Oryzias latipes: one gene and its partners. The main gene of each other region encodes a partner of the protein of the gene in region 3 in a complex. Links are inferred from orthologs where the notes say so. Each region holds a gene or a part of one and is shown on either strand. Other genes may lie near its edges.

Region 1 (3,851 bases), on a different chromosome or scaffold from region 3:
AATTCTGCTCTTTTTGCTGTTTGAAATGGCTTTATTTATCACAACTGAATCTTAGTTACACATCTCAACAGCAGTTGTGCTGTGTGATTGTTAAAAAAAATCTGTAATTTGCTTTGGACCAATTTAAAACTTGAAAGGGCATTATGAGAGTTTGCTTTTTCCAAATGCTCTATTATAAATAAATTGTTGTAAACATTTTAATTGTTGGTAACAAAGTGGCATTGTAATTTGCTGAAAACCTTCTGCACATTCACTATAACTCTTCAAGAGTTAAAGTTCCAACCGCCATGACGATGTTTTGTTCTTGCTTCCCCAGATTGGAGGCAGAGGAGCATTGTTGCGTCGAGTTGTATATAAAAGAATCAAGGATTGTTTGTTCAATCTGAGAACACGGTTTTGTTCTTCCTTTATATAATAGGACTTGTTTTAACAAAAATTGGCTGTAGATTTTTTCTTGTAAAATAAGACTTTGTTTGCATGCACCATAACAATTCTTTCTGTAATCATTGTAATTTCACATTTCTTTTGGTAGAAAATCTACAATTAAAAAAAATCCCAAAGTATTCTCGTCTTATGTGCTCTGCTGTTGAATAGTATAACATTATTTGTTTGCATGTTTTCATAAGTACATAAAGTGAAAGGTTGAGCGATTTAACTCAACGCCTCAAAAATTAGATGGCATCTCAACTCAGTGAATCGAATACTTTAAAGAAAAAACTTTATTTAAATAAAATTTTCATTGCCACATATGTGCACAATACACCAAGTCATTATTGTTGACATTTCTTAAACACTGAATATATGCACAGGCCATGTTCAAAGCATGTTCTTCCAGCTAAAATTTTTCCAGCGGTGCATAATTTAACAATTTCTCAATAAGATCCACATGGGAAAGCAGCATCCTCCGACAGCAGTACCTCTTCAGGCCCAGGGCATCAAGAGCATCACTAGAAAAGGGAAGATGGAAAAGTAATTTTAGTGCCAGATATTGCTTGCATAATTACAGAAAAAAAAAAAAAAAACATTTCTATAGTTAGTTTTAAATGTTGTATCCTCAAATGGTCTGAATTCAAACTAACATCTTGACTGACAGTGAAACAGGAGGAGTAGAGGTTGAATGAAGGCCTTTATTTAGTTTCAGAAAACTTGACCATATAGCATTACGGTGACACATTGTTGAACGAACGAAACATGAAGGTAAAATGAAAATGAAGCGCATCTGTCTCACCCTTCAGTGTATTCGGCCTGAAGAAGACCAAGGTAGGCTTCCCATTTGTTCCCCACGATCTTCCCACAAGTGAAACACCTCACCGGGATAATCATTTCTGGATGCTTGAAGAAGGAGCCAAACTAAGATATTCAATCCACAATAAATAATATAATCAACAATCAAATCAATAATAAAAAAAAATTAAATAAACAAAAACATGCCAATATGAATATGGTCATATCTGAGAAAGGGTAATTATGTTACACATGTTCCTACAACATAATTCCGCTTATGATGCTAGCAAATACTTCTAAAGGAAGGTACCAACACGTTGTTTAGGAACGTCGTAACTAAAATGAACGCAAATATCTTGCGCTACAATTTCTGTAAACGATATAATATAATTAAGTAACTTGTGTTTAAATTACTGAGATTTAAAAAACAAAAAGAAAGGCCAACGCTAGCCGCGTACATGCAGCTAGCCTAGCAGCACGCCGTCGTTCACATGCTTCCCAAACTCGGGTACAAATGAAATAAAAATATTAGTAACATTACGTTAAAAAAGGAAGTTGTTAACTCACCTTTATTGGTCAAGTTTGTCCAACACTTAAACAGCGTTATTTGTAATAATAGTAGAGACAAAGTTTAACCGTTGACGATATAAACATCACAGCTCAAATAACCATTTCCGGTGTAATACAGAGCTTCCGGATGTGATCCTACAAAATAAAACTAATTTAAATAAACCACTAAATTTAGGTAAACAATGCTGTTGAGTTTAACTGCTGTGTGTTCATTTTCTGTATGTAAAACACAACTTTAGGATTTAACAAAAAAATTATTTTATCGCGTAAAAGTATTTGTTACAAAAACTGACGCGTACGATTTGCATTTTTACTATATATATATATATATATATATATATATATATATATATATATATATATATATATATATATATATATATATATTTTTTTTTTTTTAAAGAAGGTAGCACATTGTCTAAATACAACCTGCATCGGCCCTCAAATATTGAGAAATCTGTTCCTCAAACCAAAATAAAATCACATCTCTCTGGGTGGGTCTGTAATAATACCAGTTAATCCCAGACGACATATGTGTCCAATGATTAAATGCTTTAATTTAAATCACCTACACATTCATGTTCTATGATAAGGAAACAACTACATTTATATGGTATATGTATTCACCAACATTTGTCTATATGCAAATATTACTTTTTGTTATTTGAGGATTTCTCTGCAATAATTTAGAAAACATTCTAATGTTGCCACAGTCATGTGAGTAAAATAAAATAAAAAATCCTTATTTGGGAATTGGCATAAAATGCAAATCCCAAAAAAATCCTCTTTTTCTAATCTTGACTGTAGATCTACAGCTTTCATTTTCAAGTTTAAATATTTTCATTTGGATAGCTTATTAGCCAATACTTTCTGTGAAACTGTTGCTGTTTATTAACTAATCTTTAACTGTCTTTCCTTATTTTCATTTGCAGAAAAAAAAAGTTGTGAACATAAATCAAATGTAAATCTGATCTAAGCCTTAGTCTCATCTAGATTTCTCAACATACCAGTATTCAAAAGTACCGGTACCCAATTCCTTTTTTATATTTGTTGGCAGTCCATGTTAAAACTCTCTTGAACTTACAAGATTCATTCATTCATTCATTTTCTTAACCGTTTTTCCCTTTCGGGGTCACGGGGCTGCCGGAGCCTATCTCGACCACTTGTGGACAGGTCGCCAGTCTGTCACAGGGTAGAACTTACAAGATCATAAATTTAACTGAAACTCACATTTCTACTAATATAATTGCTTTGATAATTCTTGTGCATTTAAAAAAATAATTCAGACTGGTTCACTTCTTTTATTGAGGCTGAAGTTTAAACTCTTCCTTTTTTACATTTAGACATTTGGGGACAAAAGCCGGGCTGCATTATGAAAATCAGTTAAAATATAGAATAATAAAATATCCTTCGTATCATTCTAACAGACACAATGATAACTATCATCATCATTGGCATCATGTATTGTCACCAACATCGCCATCGTCAACACCAAACATTATTACATCATCTATGCAATTTAACTTGCTACAGCACATGTGCTAAATGAATAGTCCTACCTGAATTATTGCATTTATACGCTGTTAAAATTATGAAAATAAGAATTTTTCCTTTTCTTTTTTTGGTACACTATATTGTACAATGTAAGGTGAAATTTACTTTGGTGCTACTATCTTCTTGGACATGGTAGGGGTTGGAAGGGGTGGCTGTGGTGAGTGTTTTATGATAATTTTCTGTCAGAACTGAGCGCAATATCGAAGTTCCTCTACAACTTAAATTATGTGTGTGTTTGTTACCACTGCCTTCCTTCTTCCTGTTTTCATGAAAGCAGAAACTCAAATTTTATAATTCAAGCTAAACAGACATGCTTGTGGAGCTGTACAGGTGATATTTCGGGCAATAAGACTGCATGGGATAGACAACCAGTAGACATGTTTTGGCAACTTGATACTGCAACACTAATGGCTCTTAAGCAACAATGTAAACAGACAGATCTGAGATGGCTGATTGTATTTTGCATGGCATGAAATGTTAATGATTCCTCTTAGCATTTTACA
Region 2 (4,861 bases), on a different chromosome or scaffold from region 3:
TTACATATCTGCTATTAAATCAGTTGTTTTGGGCACTTGCTCGAGCACTTTTTTAAAAACATAAATAAAAGTTATTCCAAAAGCCTTTTTTCTGCTTTGAAAAACTGCTACAGACCATTAATGTTTTTTTTTTTTCCTTTCATTTTTTTTTTAGCCACGGATCATGGCGAACGCCACAGCTACCGTACCCCCCTCCCTCCCCGAGGCCATCCCCATGTCCCACGTTTCCCTGCAGGTACAGGAAGTCTACCCCTTCCACGACGGTTGGAACGTCGCCTGCTTCGTCATCCTCCTGCTCTTCATCCTCACCGTTCTGTCCCTGGCCGCTCTGGCCGTTCTCTACGAGTTACTGGACTGCGGCTGCTGCGCCAAAGGGAAAACGCGCCACCAGTTGCAGCAAGAAAGGTCGGGAAGCTGCAGCAATCTCATGACGAGAACATGCAAGGAGCTGGAGAGCCACACGGAGGTGGTATAGCAGCAGCACAGACAAAGGAAAATGGAAGAGTTTGGGGTTGGGATGCCCAATTTATTGCCAAAACAAGCACCCCTGATACCATAGACTGTCTATTTGCATGCATCCAATTCAGAGGCAAAGAAAAAAATGAATCAATGTTCCAGAGTATTCTGTACACAGAAACGTTTGCCGAGTTAGGGCTTTAAAGACTCATGTCATCTTTGTTTAGTTTTGTGTTTTTTTGCCGTTCTTCTATGGTAAACACACAGTCGTGAATTTGTAGACACAATAAAGGTTTTCGTTTGGCTTCCCACAAACCCGATAAAAGTTGATGGAAATCTTTTCTTTTGGGTTAAAAACATTGTGGTATGATAAAAAAGAATTGTTATAAATAAACATGATTCATTTAAATGGATGTTAAGGCGAGCCGAAAGTTGTAATTGTTTGTAGTGGATGTATAGAAATCAGCTGCCACTCTCATGTTACCAGGTGGAAAATCTGACATTTCTGAAACTTTTTTAACAGATGAAGACGTTTATTTTCCAAAAGCAACTAAATGAAGTGATAAAATCTAGCGTTGGACGGCTGTTGGTCAATGTGGTATGTTGGCATTTTCATGAAGACAAACATAAAAAGACTAAAGAAAATCAATAAAAATGAGATCTAACAAAAAGTTTGGTTAAAGAGTTTGAATTTTCTTTCTCTATATTTCATGATTCTTATGAATCAGTCCTTTCATCCAAAGAATTCTTTTAGGCTTTATTTATATTTACTATAAAAATGTTAGAAGTCATTTTTTGATCTGTGCACACCTTTAAAAAAAAGCAATGACAGCAGAATTTTGACCACTTTGCTTTTCGTAATTATTCAAATATTTGACTCAGAATAACCTATGAGTGACAGATGAATGAGTTTTGATTGCCTAGGTGTTACATCATCCATCCATTAAAAAACAACAACATTTAAACCAAACAAAAGAAAGAAAACATAATCCTTAAAAATAATCTGCCAGTTTCACTCAAAGACCCCCTCCGATCATATTTTGATCTATTGTGAAAGCGTTTCCATTGGTCTTTTACTTAGGAGAAGGTCATTTTTAGCTAAAAATTAAAAAAATCTGGGTCGTTTTTCTAGGACATAGTTTCTGCAGGGTGGCAGTAGTTCATTGGAATTTCACCTGAGTTGCGAGTGGGACCAGCGGCGCTGTAAGGAGCAACCCTACCCCCCCTTCCAGTCATCCATTACTGAGCTCTCTGCATATCCTCTCTCATAAGCTTACAGCCTCTCACACACCCAACCCAACATTGGTGAGCAAACTTAAGGTTTACGCCAGATGGCAGCCCAGGCGAGGAAAACAAAGACGTACATGGATCCATTTGTCTGCAAGTGGGTTTATCAGAATGGAGCGGAGCAGCTTGTGGCACGTCCAGGAGAAGCTCAGTAACCAGATATAAAGCATGACCTACCAGTGCTGTGTTTGGAGCCAGAGGAGCCTTCCTTGTCTAACTTGGGCTTCTTCTTCTTGTGGGATCCAGAGTCTGATGCAGCTGGTCTCTTCTCAACAGCCGGCGTGGAGAGAGCTCTTTTCTTAAACAGCTCCCTCTCGCGAAGCAGAGCTGGATCCATCCAGGCTGGTGGACAAAAGCATGTAAACACAGAAAAGGCTGGATAAAATGCAGTTTTACTAAGCTTCAAACGTTTAAATTAAATATAATTTATGAAATAAATATAATACTGAAACAGTGAGGTGCATCATCTCCATGCATATCTATTATACCTGGTATGTTTACCTGGTTCTTTTCTCAATCTAATCAGTGATGCAGCTGTTTTACTATTTTTTCTTCAAATATTAAGTAGAGCATAAGGATTATTATTAGTAACTAGATTTGATGTTAAAACATTGTCTTGACACGACAGGATTCTGTTCTTCAAAACTACGGTGTTCCATTTGTGCCAAAAATAATTGTGTTCGGTTCTTCTACTGACAATATGGGCCAAAGACATGGAATTACTACATTAACAGTGACCAAAGAAATACACTTAATACAGAAACAGTGGACTAAAAACTCAACTCAAAACATATTTAAACATATATATAACAGAAGTTCGCTGTTTGTCCGATTAGCTTCTTCTTCAGTTTATCGGGAAAAAAAAAACTTCATATAAGCAGCTAAAAGTCATCGAGATGAACCTTTAGAGTCCAGTTTCCCCAAAGAACCGAATCCCGTGACAGCATGACCCACATAACCGCTAATTAATGTTCCCGCATTGTCTAACACCTAATGTGATGCTAATCCTAGTGTTAGCATGTCAACGTTACCTGCTACTGTTGAGTTCTTCTTTCCAGAAAGTGGCGAATAAGTCCCGATAGACTAATTTATAAACTAAAAAGTGAAATAGAAAGACAATTTTAAGCTTAAGTAAACTCAAGCTTACTTTCTAATAAAAAAGTATTATTTTTGTATCCATCATGTAACTGTTTCGTTTAGTGTTCGAGTTGTCGGTTATCGTTATCGTATGTTATTCCTTGGGTGACGTCTTCCGCGTGCAAGCAAAAACCCGCAGCTGTGTAGCTCAACATCGCCACCTACTGGACTGGAGGACAGTCAACTTATTTCAGGCAAGAGAGCTATTTTGGTTAGGGATTCTGAAACTATAGCTAAAATAATGAGTGTTCTGTTTCACAGTTTTTAATTCTTGCCGGAACGTTTAAAAACAATTAAATAGTTTCAGCAAATGTTTCTCCCCCAACATTTTCAGTTTTTAAACTGAAAATTATTGGATATTATTATAACCAACAGTTTGTAATAAGACATTAAAAGTATTATTTCCAACACCTGACTGTAATATGTTCTGTTTTGCATTGTGGTGTGATTGCCATTTCGATTATAAACATAATCTTTACAAGTTTTCTTTGCCAAATTTTGTGCTTTGACCAATAAAGTTTAATCTCATTTCTTGTTAAAAGATGAAACACTTAAGTGAAATGTTAATAAAGTTCCAGGATTTATTTTTGAATAATATTTTTAATTTAAAGCCTTTTTTTTTCTTTTTACTGTAGAGGAGCCTACAGCACGTAGTTACAAAATACATTACGATAGCATACCTTTTGCAGTTCTAAAGGGGTGTAAAGCATTACTATGACATTAAAGTCATTACATACTTAGTAATGAGACGAGAACACATGAACAAAAAAACTCTGCTAAAAATATCTTTATAAACTCATGGTTCATCACTTTTAGCTTAGAAACAATAATTTAACTTTTGATTTCTTGAACAAATGTGTTTATCTTTTTTTTTTTTTTTTTCTTGAAGAAAAAAATGTATCTGATCAGTTATTTTTGACAAAGTGTGGTGATTGGAATCATTATTTAATAGACAGCTCCACTTTTCCTGAGGTAAACAGACCCCTACGGTTCTCCTGTCACTCTGTTATCCATTTAGGTAGATGACTCATAGTTTTATTTTAACAACAAAAAGCTGTGATTCTGCTTCCTGTACTTTCACTTAATGATTATTAAAGCTTATCGCCATTTGTCTTAGAGTGAAATGCTTGACAGTACCTTGTCACTTCCTCTACTTCTGTAGGTCTTACAAAGAACGCTATAAGTAATAATTGATTACGAGTCATAACTTTATAAGTAATAAAGTTATGTAACGCAGTGTAACTCTGACACAGTGACAGTTTGGAGGTAACAAACCCCAAACTGTAAACAGAAATAATACTAAAAATAATTTTACTTTCCCTTTATTATTACTTTATAAGTAATAAAGTCATGTAATGCAGTGTAACTCTGACACAGTGACAGTTTGGAGGTAACAAACCCCAAACTGTAAACAGAAATAATACTAAAAATAATTTTACTTTCCCTTTTTTTTCTCTGACTAGTAATCAATTTTATTAGCGAATAATGAGGGCATATACAAGGAATTTGGCTTCAGTGTCTTATTCTCTCATTTGAAAGGACAAAGCAAACAAGGATAAAGTATAAATAGGCGTAAAAAAGGAAAGAAAAACATGAAGATTACATTTAAACTGGTTTAAAAGTTCTCATGTTTGTGGTTTCATACTCTGTAACTGATTCTCCTTATTTGACCTCAAGTTCCCTTGTTGTTCACCTTTCGGCGTTTCCCTTCAGGGGGTGGCCACGGCGAATTAGCTTTCACTGATTTGCACAGGTGGTTCGGCAGAGATTTTTTTTAACGCCGGATGACCTTCCTGACACAAGCCTGTATTTCATCCGGGCTTGGGACCCGGCACAGGGGGACTTACCGCGTAGGGTTTTACCTAAGGACCCACACTGGATTCAGCTCATCGTGCCCCCTGGGAAATGAACCCTGGTTTTCCACAAACCAGTCCTGCATTCAGCCATCCAGCCGCTTTTTTGACTCTAAGTTCCCTGAATT
Region 3 (4,948 bases):
AAAGTTCAAGAAATATAAGTAATTAAGATTGAAAAAAGATTAATGGAGTAATGTGATATTTAGCTAGATGAATACGTAAAAATTGAGTTGTATAAACAATTATTGAGTTTTATAGACGCAAGAAATTAGGTTGAATACATTTAACTAATTTATTTGTTACTAATAGAAGAAATTTATTTAAGATTATATATAAATATGCGTCACAAGGAAAATGGAAACAAGATCAGAAACTTTGTTATTTTTCTCCAAGCAGAAACTCTTTTTTTTGCTGATGCAGCCGTGTTACTTTTTTGATGGACTTATAATTTCTATCCGCCGTCATTAAAATCTCAGACTCCGTCTCACTTCCGTCTCAAGTGTACCGCTTTTTTTTTCTCCACGCGTTTCCATGGTGACTCCAGAAATCGGCCATCTATTGAGAATGTCTTTATGTACCTCCTGTGCACGAGCATTAACCCAGGGTTACCAAGTCGAGCGTAATTACACTTACTCATATCCGGTCTTTTGGAACCGACATACCCAGAGTAAGCAAGTTTAGGCGGATTTCAGCCAGAGTTCAGGCTTAAAGTCTGGCTAGTTTAAACATGCTTCCTGGAATATCCCCCTGGTTCTGTCGGTTTGCTCAGTTTGCTCTCGTTGAACCACAGCAGTGATGGCTGCTGAGCACTTAAAGCGCCAGCAGGAGGCGCTGCAACAGCAGCTTCCTAAAAGCAGCTTTTGTGCTCCTGACCGTTCAAAATTGTAGATCAGGGAGAACATGGGAGCCTCACCTCTGTCCATCCTTCCTCACCCACAGGGCGACAGCTGCTTGAGGGAGGGGCTGCTCCAAAAACAGCATCCGCATCACATAGTTCTTAGCCAGCAAGGGGAGCTCTCTGCAGAGAAAGGGCCAACACAAAGCAGATGAGATCACCCTGTGGTAAATATTCAGACTATCCTTAATTTTATTATATATCATGGCCCTAAATGACCTTTTTTGGTTACTAGATGGGGTCCCCAGTAACTAGTCTACCAGCCAAGTTAGATTTCTACTAGCCAAACATTTCTCTGGAAAAATAAGTTATGTATTTGAAAGAAACACATTTATTCCATTTTTTATAAAGTTTCAGTTGATGATAATTTTCTCTTGAAAACACTAATTAAAAGTGTATTCTTATGTCAGGTTGTATAATATACCGAAATGTAATGCACCTCTGTTGCACTATTGTATTTCTTTTTACTTGTTCTGATCACTGTGTCTATGTTTTTGGCTCATTACTGTTTATTTTATTATTATTCTTAAGTGTTGTATGTGACACATTGGCACTGCAGCAAATTCCTAGTCTGTGAAACTGTTGTGTTCCGTTCACTGACATGGCAATAAAAATCCCTCTGAATCTGAATCTGAATCTTAACAAAAGACACTTCTGATCTCTGAACCTTTTTATAAACACATTCCTTTCTTTAAAGCACCAAATTTCTAATGTTTATTTCTAGTCATGGTCATTTGTGTTGCGGCTCATGTGACTTAACTCTGCGCAAAAAAAGTCAGAATTAAATGTTTGAACCAATTTGAGATGGGTGTTTGTTGAAGCTAAGTGTGGAGTGAGGCAGAGACTTAAAAGTCATAGTTGTGACTTTGACCCACCCTGTCAGAGATGCAGAACAATGCCTCACCTTTTTAAGTGGTTAGTCAAATTGGTTTTCTGGGCAGGTGGTAATCTAGAGCCCTGATTATATATAATGTAAAATTTTATAATAAAAGTAAAATGTCAAGGAGGTTAGGTATTGCTTTTTTATGAGAATGTAAAGTTCAATCTTGGCATTTGGTGGATTTGAAACTTATGTTTATAAAATACAGATGTGGTAGGTAACTTTTATTCTCTTTTTATGCATCTTCTAGCCTTATCAGGCATAGCGCTACAAACTGCAAACAGGAGGTAGTCCGAAATGTTTAGAAATATCATGCATTCCAGCAGGAATTTTAATGTGCTCAAGAGAGACGCCGTCTTTTGGATATGGAGCTGGTACCTGCACACAGCCAGGCAGGTAGCTGGGTGATTGTAAAGGCGGTCCAGGACGTCCGGGCCCAGCTCTCTCAGGTACTCGTGCAGGTTTTTGCACTGCAGCTGGACACGCAGCTTCATCCCTGCAACAAGACACCAAGACCACAGACGGATGGATCATTTGATTGGCATGTCACCAGATAGACGGACAGATATGCAAATTAGGTTTTGCCAAGTTTGTTGTTCTGTGAAATACTTGTACCACATGAGACATTCAAACAGTTACATTCTGGCAGACTGAATAGTTCTGTCAGACACAGGACGATAACTCCTCAGATTTGATTATGTGCCCAAAATGTTCCTCAGACACATAAGAAAATATAAAGATGTTGAATTGCTTTTTTGTGTCAAACTATAACAGAAATGCAAAACCTTTAGTCAAATGTGGAGATATTGTGTGTTCTCTTAAGGGAACATACAGATTCTAACAGACTAGGCCTTAATTGTCTGTAAATTATCTTGATTTTATGATATCTCATAAAAACCCACTGCAGATATTGGAGAAAAGGTGATCATCTTGTATCGTTCCTCCTACATTATCATTTATATTCTGCTCTTGCTTGCTATAAAATACAGAAAAAATGAACAACAAAAACATTTAAAATAAGGTTTTTAATACCTTATTTAATCAATTGCACCCAAGCTCGTGGGGGGCATTTAAAACATCAAAGTTAACAATCCAGTATGTCAGAATTTGAGGCATTTAATTGGTGCCAAAATAAATACTCCACTTAGAAGTAATGTACTGTTGTTTATTATTACAAATTACTAATACGATTGTTTTGTTATTATTATTATTGTTATTATTATTGCAAAGTAACAACATTTCAGTCTGATCCTGTTGTGTTTGAATCCAGTTACTTACTCCGGTTCTGATCTTATCACAGCAGGTTCTGAATCTTCGCCGATTCTGAGGAAGCAAAAAAGATCAAAGGAAACATAAAACAGAACTCAGGCACGCGGACCGAACCTGTGGGGAGCTGCTGGATCTCAAAACAAAGTCACAATAAACTAAGATTCATTACAACATCAGTGAAGCAAACTCGGATGCTAGTCGACAGCCATGTTGTTGTGACGTAACAACAAAGCGAGCTTTCATTGGTCTAAATCTTTTTTATTTGTTGGTAAGGCAGCTATAGTGCGCCCTCTGGTGGTTTGTAGCAGCAGTGCGTTTCTGCTCAGTTTATTTCCATCCTTTGAAACGGAAGTTGCAAATTTTACTATCTTAGAAAAAATAATTCACAATAGTAAACTATATCTCTTCTCCTACCTGAAATTACAATTTGATCACCTTTTTGGTTTGCTTATTTCATTGGTGCTGGTGTGAAAATTATCTTTTGTTTTTTTTCAGTGCAACATGTACAAGATATAGCAAAAAACCTGCACAAGTCATGTTCTCTGATAAAAAATATACATTTTTAAAAGATTTTGACCCAGCTCCACAGATGCCTCTACAGCGCCACCAAACGTTTACTCTCTCAAGGCTACTTTCTTACCTAGCCGAGGTCACTAAGCCTTTTTTAAAACCTAAAGAATCACATCATGCATATTCAAACACATGGGGCTTTCACCCTTCAGCTTTGTGGCTTTTTTGTATGATCTCAGAATCATTTAAAACAGATAAAAAATGTAAAGAAAAAAAAACAAACTTGTTTCTTTTCCAAAGTTAAGTCTCCCACAAGCCAGGACTTAAACTGTGTAAAACTGCTTGAAAGCCTGGGCTGGACCAGAATTAAATAAAAAAAATCTCAATGATATTGGCGGGGGTTAAATAAACTTGGTTTTTGGACATCAACACACTTTTTTTTTTAGCCGGATCAGTCAACAAAATACAATTGTTACTATGGCCTATCACCTTAGCATTCATGTTGACTCAAAAGGTCACTCAAAGGTCATTTACCTCTATGGCATCACTGCAGATGAAGAGTTTTTGTAAGAGTTTACTTTTATGCCAAATAGCTTGCCTGCTTGTGCATCTCCTGTGGATAATAGATGAGGGGGGCAGTTATTAAAAAGGCTTTAGAGAGAGATTGGGGGGGGGGGGGGGGTATAGGTATGATGGAGAGCTACTGAGGCCCAGGAGGACCAAACTAGACCAAGGAGGTTGAACTGTTTTTTTCTAAATGCTGCTGGCAACTTAACAGGGCAGTTGTGGTGCAGAAGTAGAGCGGTCAACCCCTGATCAAGAGGTTGCAGGTTTAATTCCCACCCTACCCGCCCATGTGTCCAAGGTTAAGACACTGAACCCCACCTTGCTTCTGGGGGTTATAGGTTGGCAACATGGTTTGGTAGCTGAGCCACAATCAGTGTGTGTGTTCATGGGTGAATGGAACTGTGACTGTAAAATGCTCCAAGAAGATAGTTAAGGGGCTAAATAAGTATACGCCGTTTACCATTCTGCTTCAATAAATCAACAAAAAGAACATGTCAGATACCAAGAGCGTTCTTTATCATTTAAAGAACAATTTAACAGCCATGTGAGATGTAAGTTGAAGCCTTACTGGATACAACAGTTCAAATTTGGTAGAATACTTTATAAAAACATAGGATGACAGTTTTCTGGTCTTTGACAAGAGTTTTAAAGAAATTAATCAAACTATAAAGAGATCATTTTCTGAGAAAATGCGCGCAAGTACTAACAGCTGTCCAGTTGAGAATCAGGGTATGCTTCAGGAAAAATAAATATAAACAGCTGATACAGTTTTATTGTTTCTGGTTAGTTTGCTGAGTTGCTGTCCTGCTCCTTCACTTTAGTTGACTTGTGTAAAATGTATACCTGATTGTCCTGAGCCTCCGTGGCTGCAGTTTAAATCTGAGACATCGATTCCTGTTTTTTTTCTTGTAGAGTCCCGATGAACTGACCAGTGTCATGTGTGACAAAGGTGGAGAGGACCAACACGTGC
Region 4 (5,070 bases), on a different chromosome or scaffold from region 3:
CCCACAAAAAAAATAATAATTGGGAAAACATTAATTGGTGCTCTGACCTGTGTGGTCCCTTGAACTTTATTCCCTGGAGCCAAAACGATCTGCTGCGGCTGAATGATGACTCCTGCTTGCTGGGGCAGTCCACCCTGCAGAGGAGCTAAAACCTGCACGTTTGCAAGAAAAGGACTCCAAGTTTTCAGAAATCAATTCCCAGACTGGTTTCATGCTCAAAAGGATGACCTCACACATGGACTGTACCTGCTGTATAATGGGGGCCTGCACGCCGCCAGGCTGCATCTGATTCTGCAGGACGATCTGCTGCTGAGGCTGGATGATGTACTGAGTCCCGTTGGGAGCCCGGACCACCTGCAGGAGCTGACCTGCATCAACAGGAAAACAAAAAAACGTTTTGAGATCCAACCACGCTAAAGTCCAAAGGAACGGTGAGAGCTTTACCTTGGCTTGTGATGAGCTGTTGGTAGGGGGTGACCCCTGTGGGCAAAGCAAGGGTTGCTGCAGTGGCTGCTGCGGTCTGCAGGAGGAAACACAGAAAGCCGCTCCAATTATACCAGAGCACAAAAAGGTGGATTTTCTAGGTGATAAAAAAAGAAAAAATCTTCTTTTTTCTTTTCATTTAAGCCTTAAAGGTTTCAAACATGGTCCATCACTTAAGGAAAAGCTATAGCGGCGGCTAGGTTTCAAGCTCAAAAAGACAGATGGCCTCCCCACAAGAAAGCTTTTCCCTTTCTCGGTTTTGTTCTCCAGGTCCTTGTTGAGAAAAAAAGTCCTCTCCCAAAACCCACAGCCCGGCTAGTTTTCCTAACCGTCGCTTCCTTGATACTATCCCAGATATTCCCCGGGTGGATTTGTGCGATGACAAAACGGGACGTTTGGGAGAATTTTTGGTTCTCAAGTGTGGCGGTGCAGTTTTCAGCTTGTAAGATGCTACTCACCATTCCCGTTGAATTCATGTGCTGTATCATTTTAGAGTCCTGAACTATGACCTGCTGCTGGGGAGCTGTTGAGAATAAAACACATTATTTCAGGTTGAAAAAAAAAAAAAACAACACACGTCCAGGCGACGTTTGTATGTCAACGTGCGGACTCGCCTTGTTGCTGCGAGGGAATCTGGATAACCTGCTGGGCCGGCGCGGCCTGGGCCACCTGCTGGGCCTGTTGGGAGTGCGGGTGCTGCTGCTGAGCGGTCTGCAGGGCCGCCTGCTCCTCGGTGTGGAAGCCCTCCACCGCCTTTGACTGCAGCAGCTTGTTCTCCCACAGCTGAAAGACAAGACTCCAGATGAATCTGACCAAACACGGAGCTGCATGTGTGTGTGTGTGTGTGAGGGGGGGGGGTTATAACCTTCTCTCAGTAAAATGAGACGGATTACCGTTTTCAGCTCCAGAAGAACTTGCTCGTCCACCCCTTCATCCAGGAACAGCTCCCGCACCTCATTGATCACATCCTCAATAACAGACTTGTATAATTTAGGCTATGATGACAAAACAGAGCAAATACACAATTTATTGGTGGTGGTTTCAACATATATAAATGTTTACAATAAATGTAGGAAAACACTCATAAAAGAGGTGTTAAGTTTAAACGGTCACATCTTGTGTATATGGATAGATTATCCAAACCCATATATAATAATCTGCACTGATCCATTTGTCAGCAGGACTAAACGCGTCCCTCGAGACAGAGCTGCACGCGCGGGGAACTGTCACGGACAACATTCTGGCTTCTACGCAGAACGAGAAGCGGGACACCGAATGTCCGTCTCTCTGCTCTCCTCCCCGTCAGCTCCGGCACTATTTAAAGCGCAGTCTGCTGTTTATGTGAAGAACCGGTGACGTAGCGTCGTGTAGCACCGTCCCATCCCGGGCAGTCTATATTAGACGGCCAATATGGCGGTATAAAACCAGGCAGCAGAAAGGAGGAGGGCCAGAACCGAGAGAGGAGACGAGGAAGCCATTTTACAGAGCGGCAAGCGCGCGCGCGCCTCTTTTCCCTCCTCGACTAGCAAGATATGGCGGACTGAAGATGACGGTTTCGGTGGTTTATCTCATGAAAGGATCCGTTTTGACTAAACATTTTTGACTGGAGCGGGACATTTGTTGCGTTGAGGGTGATTTGGGACGGCTCTCCTGCCCTCTGGTCGTGGAATGGAGGACAATGAAGAAGAAGCAGTTGACAGAGCGTTCAAGACGCCAAGCTTTTAATAAAATTTTTTTAGCTAAATTCAGTCGCAGTGGATGGTGCATATGTGCTTTGCGTACATCAGTTTCCCTCCCCTCCAACAGTTATGCGACAATAAGTATGACATTTTCCCCCGTGTAAACAAAAATGAGCACCCCTAACTTAACTAGTTAGCTAACGCATTCAATGCGGATTTCAACTCAATTTAGCTTTAAAAAAATGTCCAGAAGGTTTTCGGAAGCACTTACGTTAACAACTAATACCGTATAAACAGGCAACTTTTAACTTTAAAATTTATTTTTGATCACATTTAATTTAAATATTTAAAGAGATTCGGGTCCTACAAAAGTAATCAGTTCTATAAGCTCTTTTTTCATTGAGTTTCGAAAACTGGTATAAAAAAAATGACCGTGAGTATTCCTTTGAATGGACATAACGGTGTTGGTAAAACTCATTTTTACTGTAATGAATAAAAAAAATAAATTAAAAAAAAAAACAGATCGTTGACACGTTTTTCCATCAACTTTACCCCCATTTTCCCCCGTTGACAGTCCTGAGAGATTGATCCTTACCACTGGGTTCGAGTTTGCCGAGCTCGCCATTATACGCGTAGTGTAAAAACCACACGGAAATAGGCGAGAAACAGTGCCAAAAATTAAGAAAAAAGACTTAAAACAACTGGGAAAGGTACTTTAAAACAGCCGGCATTACTTTTGTAAATAAAACACAGTTTTAACGGTCTTATTTACAATCCCGGGCTGCGACTCCCCAGCCGTCCTCCTTTCGTCGTTGTCCTGCTTTATATACTGAGCGATGGAGCTGCGAGTGCGCGAGACATAGGGCAGGGTCAAAAGGCACATAGCGCGAGATTTGCCACAAAAAACGATGACTAATCACTGACGTCGTGCTGGGAAATGTAGTTTAAATTGTAAATTTCACAATGCGATTGGATACTTAGCTTTTTAGATTTGTTGGACAAATTATCCAATTGTTAACCATGATTACAATTACATTGTTTTTGTTTGTGAGTTTGTATTGTGTTGAGAATGTTTACAAATAGAGGGTTACAAGTTTTAATTGATTTAACTTTTTCAGCTAAATCGAGATTTTTCCTGTATAGTAAATTCTGTGTTGTATTCATTACTTTTATTTTATAACGAAAAGGTTCAAATCTGAATCCAAAAGCCCGATTTATTTCTATGTTCCTTGTAGTATCGTTCTACAGCCACAAGAGGGCGATAAGACAACATCACATGAAAATAACCTGTGTTTCACTGGAGCTTTGAGACGGGCATATTTTTCACATGCAGCGTGCTATATGTGATCTTTAATTAAGAAGATCTGTGCACATTTGAAGAAGTATTTAAGATCATATTCACTTGATCCAAAAATACACAACCAAAGGGAAAATCCTTAAAAAAAAGCTTTGCAATAATTTCGTGTAGACATTGTTAACTCCACTTCAGTCTCCATGGAAACTTGCTTCCCTGGCCACTCTGTGGATATAGATGATATAGACTAGGGAAGACTGTTTGCATCAATCCACAAACAATTCAGTGTTTTCTGAAAACTGTGTTTACTGAAATTATCTAAAGAAGATGTAAAAAAAAGAGAGAGAGGGTGATCTGACCCTGCAGATCACCCTCTCATGCTTCTATAATTACAGGGGAAGCAAAGTTCAACGTGATCAAAAAGCAAGCGAGTGATCCATGCTATGAATGTTTGGGATGTGATCATATATGCAGGCTAGGGCATTGCTGTCTTTGAGCTTCACTCCGGTGTAACATTAGAGAAGCATGATGCCCTCTAAAGATCTGGAGAATGCACACTTTACCCCCCCCCCCCCCCCCACTCCCTACTCCCCCTTCTTTGCTGTAGTTGCATAGCAACAGAGGAGCTGCAAGCTCCAGTTGTGTTGTGATGGGAGCGTGCTGCACAGGGAGCCACTGGCTCAAGATTAAGCCGGTCTCTACTTCAATTATGAATGGGCTTCCACCGCCACACGGCTCCAAAATGGCACCACTCAGACTGATAAGACATTGAGGAACTCTTTGGTGCACTTAACTCTTTTACGTCCCTCCCTGAAGGGGTGGGGGGTAGTTAATCAGAAGTATTGAACTTAAATGATTAGACGAAGTAAATGACTAATTATCTGGGAGAGGAAGCATGGTTATGATAAGACCTCTTGTTGATGAGAATGTGCGGGGTTAATGATTGAGGTCAGGTTTGAGAGTGAATTAAAGCTAACACTGCCAGTAAATGGCGTTTCAAGTTTAAACGATGCTGCTAAGGGAGGGATTTATGCTTACTAGTAATCCTCAACTATATTTAACTTCAGACTTTGAGAGGAAAGTGCTTCAATTAGATGGATTTTCATGAAAAACCAGCAAATAAGAAACAGGCAAGAATCTTTTCTGCAACTTGTATTTTTTTTATTATTGCAACCAACTGGAAGACAATACATCACATAAACATCATTGTAGTTGTTCAGAAAATGGAAAACAAAATAAAACAACATTTATATATTTTTTTGCCACGGTATTAGACAACGTTGATATTTACATGTAGTGATGAAATAGGTCTTGAAATCATTCTTTGGCAATGTGATTGCACAATAAGGGGAGAAAAACTGAACATTTACCGGGTGGATGGGGGGAAAAAACAACAAGAATAAAAAAAATTAAATAAAAAAAGGAACACCTGGGTGTACTCTGCATGGCATCTCACCGATCGATAACAGCTTTGCAATTTGACATCTCTAACCTATGGCTTTCCGATATCCAGCTCAGGCAGGTCTCTAAACGTAACGGCAGTAATGTAATCTCGTCAGGGAGAGGAGCAAAACAACAACAACAACAAAAATAAAAACCCTCTCAGAAATGGCA

The links. The genes of interacting proteins can lie anywhere in the genome.
Region 1: gtf2h4 (region 3) and polr2l share a complex: the UniProt entries of both Homo sapiens proteins name them as parts of the TBP-based Pol II pre-initiation complex. The link is inferred for Oryzias latipes from reciprocal best matches to the Homo sapiens genes GTF2H4 and POLR2L.
Region 2: gtf2h4 (region 3) and gtf2e2 share a complex: the UniProt entries of both Homo sapiens proteins name them as parts of the TBP-based Pol II pre-initiation complex. The link is inferred for Oryzias latipes from reciprocal best matches to the Homo sapiens genes GTF2H4 and GTF2E2.
Region 4: gtf2h4 (region 3) and gtf2a1 share a complex: the UniProt entries of both Homo sapiens proteins name them as parts of the TBP-based Pol II pre-initiation complex. The link is inferred for Oryzias latipes from reciprocal best matches to the Homo sapiens genes GTF2H4 and GTF2A1.

What each region holds. Positions count from the first base shown.
Region 1 is NC_019861.2:18,860,557-18,864,407, forward strand, and holds polr2l (DNA-directed RNA polymerases I, II, and III subunit RPABC5), read right to left. Parts: upstream 1,924-3,851; 5' UTR 1,792-1,923; intron 1,351-1,791; exon of another isoform or gene 1,333-1,350; 5' UTR 1,324-1,332; coding exon 1,229-1,323; intron 948-1,228; coding exon 836-947; 3' UTR 697-835; downstream 1-696. UniProt on the Homo sapiens protein: DNA-dependent RNA polymerase catalyzes the transcription of DNA into RNA using the four ribonucleoside triphosphates as substrates.
Region 2 is NC_019859.2:11,936,549-11,941,409, reverse strand, and holds the start of gtf2e2 (transcription initiation factor IIE subunit beta), read right to left. Parts: upstream 2,997-4,861; 5' UTR 2,775-2,996; intron 2,086-2,774; 5' UTR 2,081-2,085; coding exon 1,921-2,080; intron 1,127-1,920; exon of another isoform or gene 476-1,126; coding exon of another isoform or gene 164-475; exon of another isoform or gene 155-163; intron 1-154. Other genes in the region: smim18 (small integral membrane protein 18), read left to right, coding at 164-475. UniProt on the Homo sapiens protein: Recruits TFIIH to the initiation complex and stimulates the RNA polymerase II C-terminal domain kinase and DNA-dependent ATPase activities of TFIIH. Both TFIIH and TFIIE are required for promoter clearance by RNA polymerase.
Region 3 is NC_019869.2:21,552,152-21,557,099, reverse strand, and holds the start of gtf2h4 (general transcription factor IIH subunit 4), read right to left. Parts: upstream 3,431-4,948; 5' UTR 3,074-3,430; intron 2,956-3,073; 5' UTR 2,911-2,955; intron 2,129-2,910; 5' UTR 2,127-2,128; coding exon 2,011-2,126; intron 876-2,010; coding exon 771-875; intron 1-770. UniProt on the Homo sapiens protein: Component of the general transcription and DNA repair factor IIH (TFIIH) core complex, which is involved in general and transcription-coupled nucleotide excision repair (NER) of damaged DNA and, when complexed to CAK, in RNA transcription by RNA polymerase II.
Region 4 is NC_019882.2:4,170,837-4,175,906, forward strand, and holds the start of gtf2a1 (transcription initiation factor IIA subunit 1), read right to left. Parts: upstream 2,997-5,070; 5' UTR 2,788-2,996; coding exon 2,758-2,787; exon of another isoform or gene 2,721-2,757; coding exon of another isoform or gene 2,715-2,720; intron 1,479-2,714; coding exon 1,377-1,478; intron 1,267-1,376; coding exon 1,098-1,266; intron 1,007-1,097; coding exon 942-1,006; intron 521-941; coding exon 445-520; intron 369-444; coding exon 247-368; intron 153-246; coding exon 48-152; intron 1-47. UniProt on the Homo sapiens protein: TFIIA is a component of the transcription machinery of RNA polymerase II and plays an important role in transcriptional activation. TFIIA in a complex with TBP mediates transcriptional activity.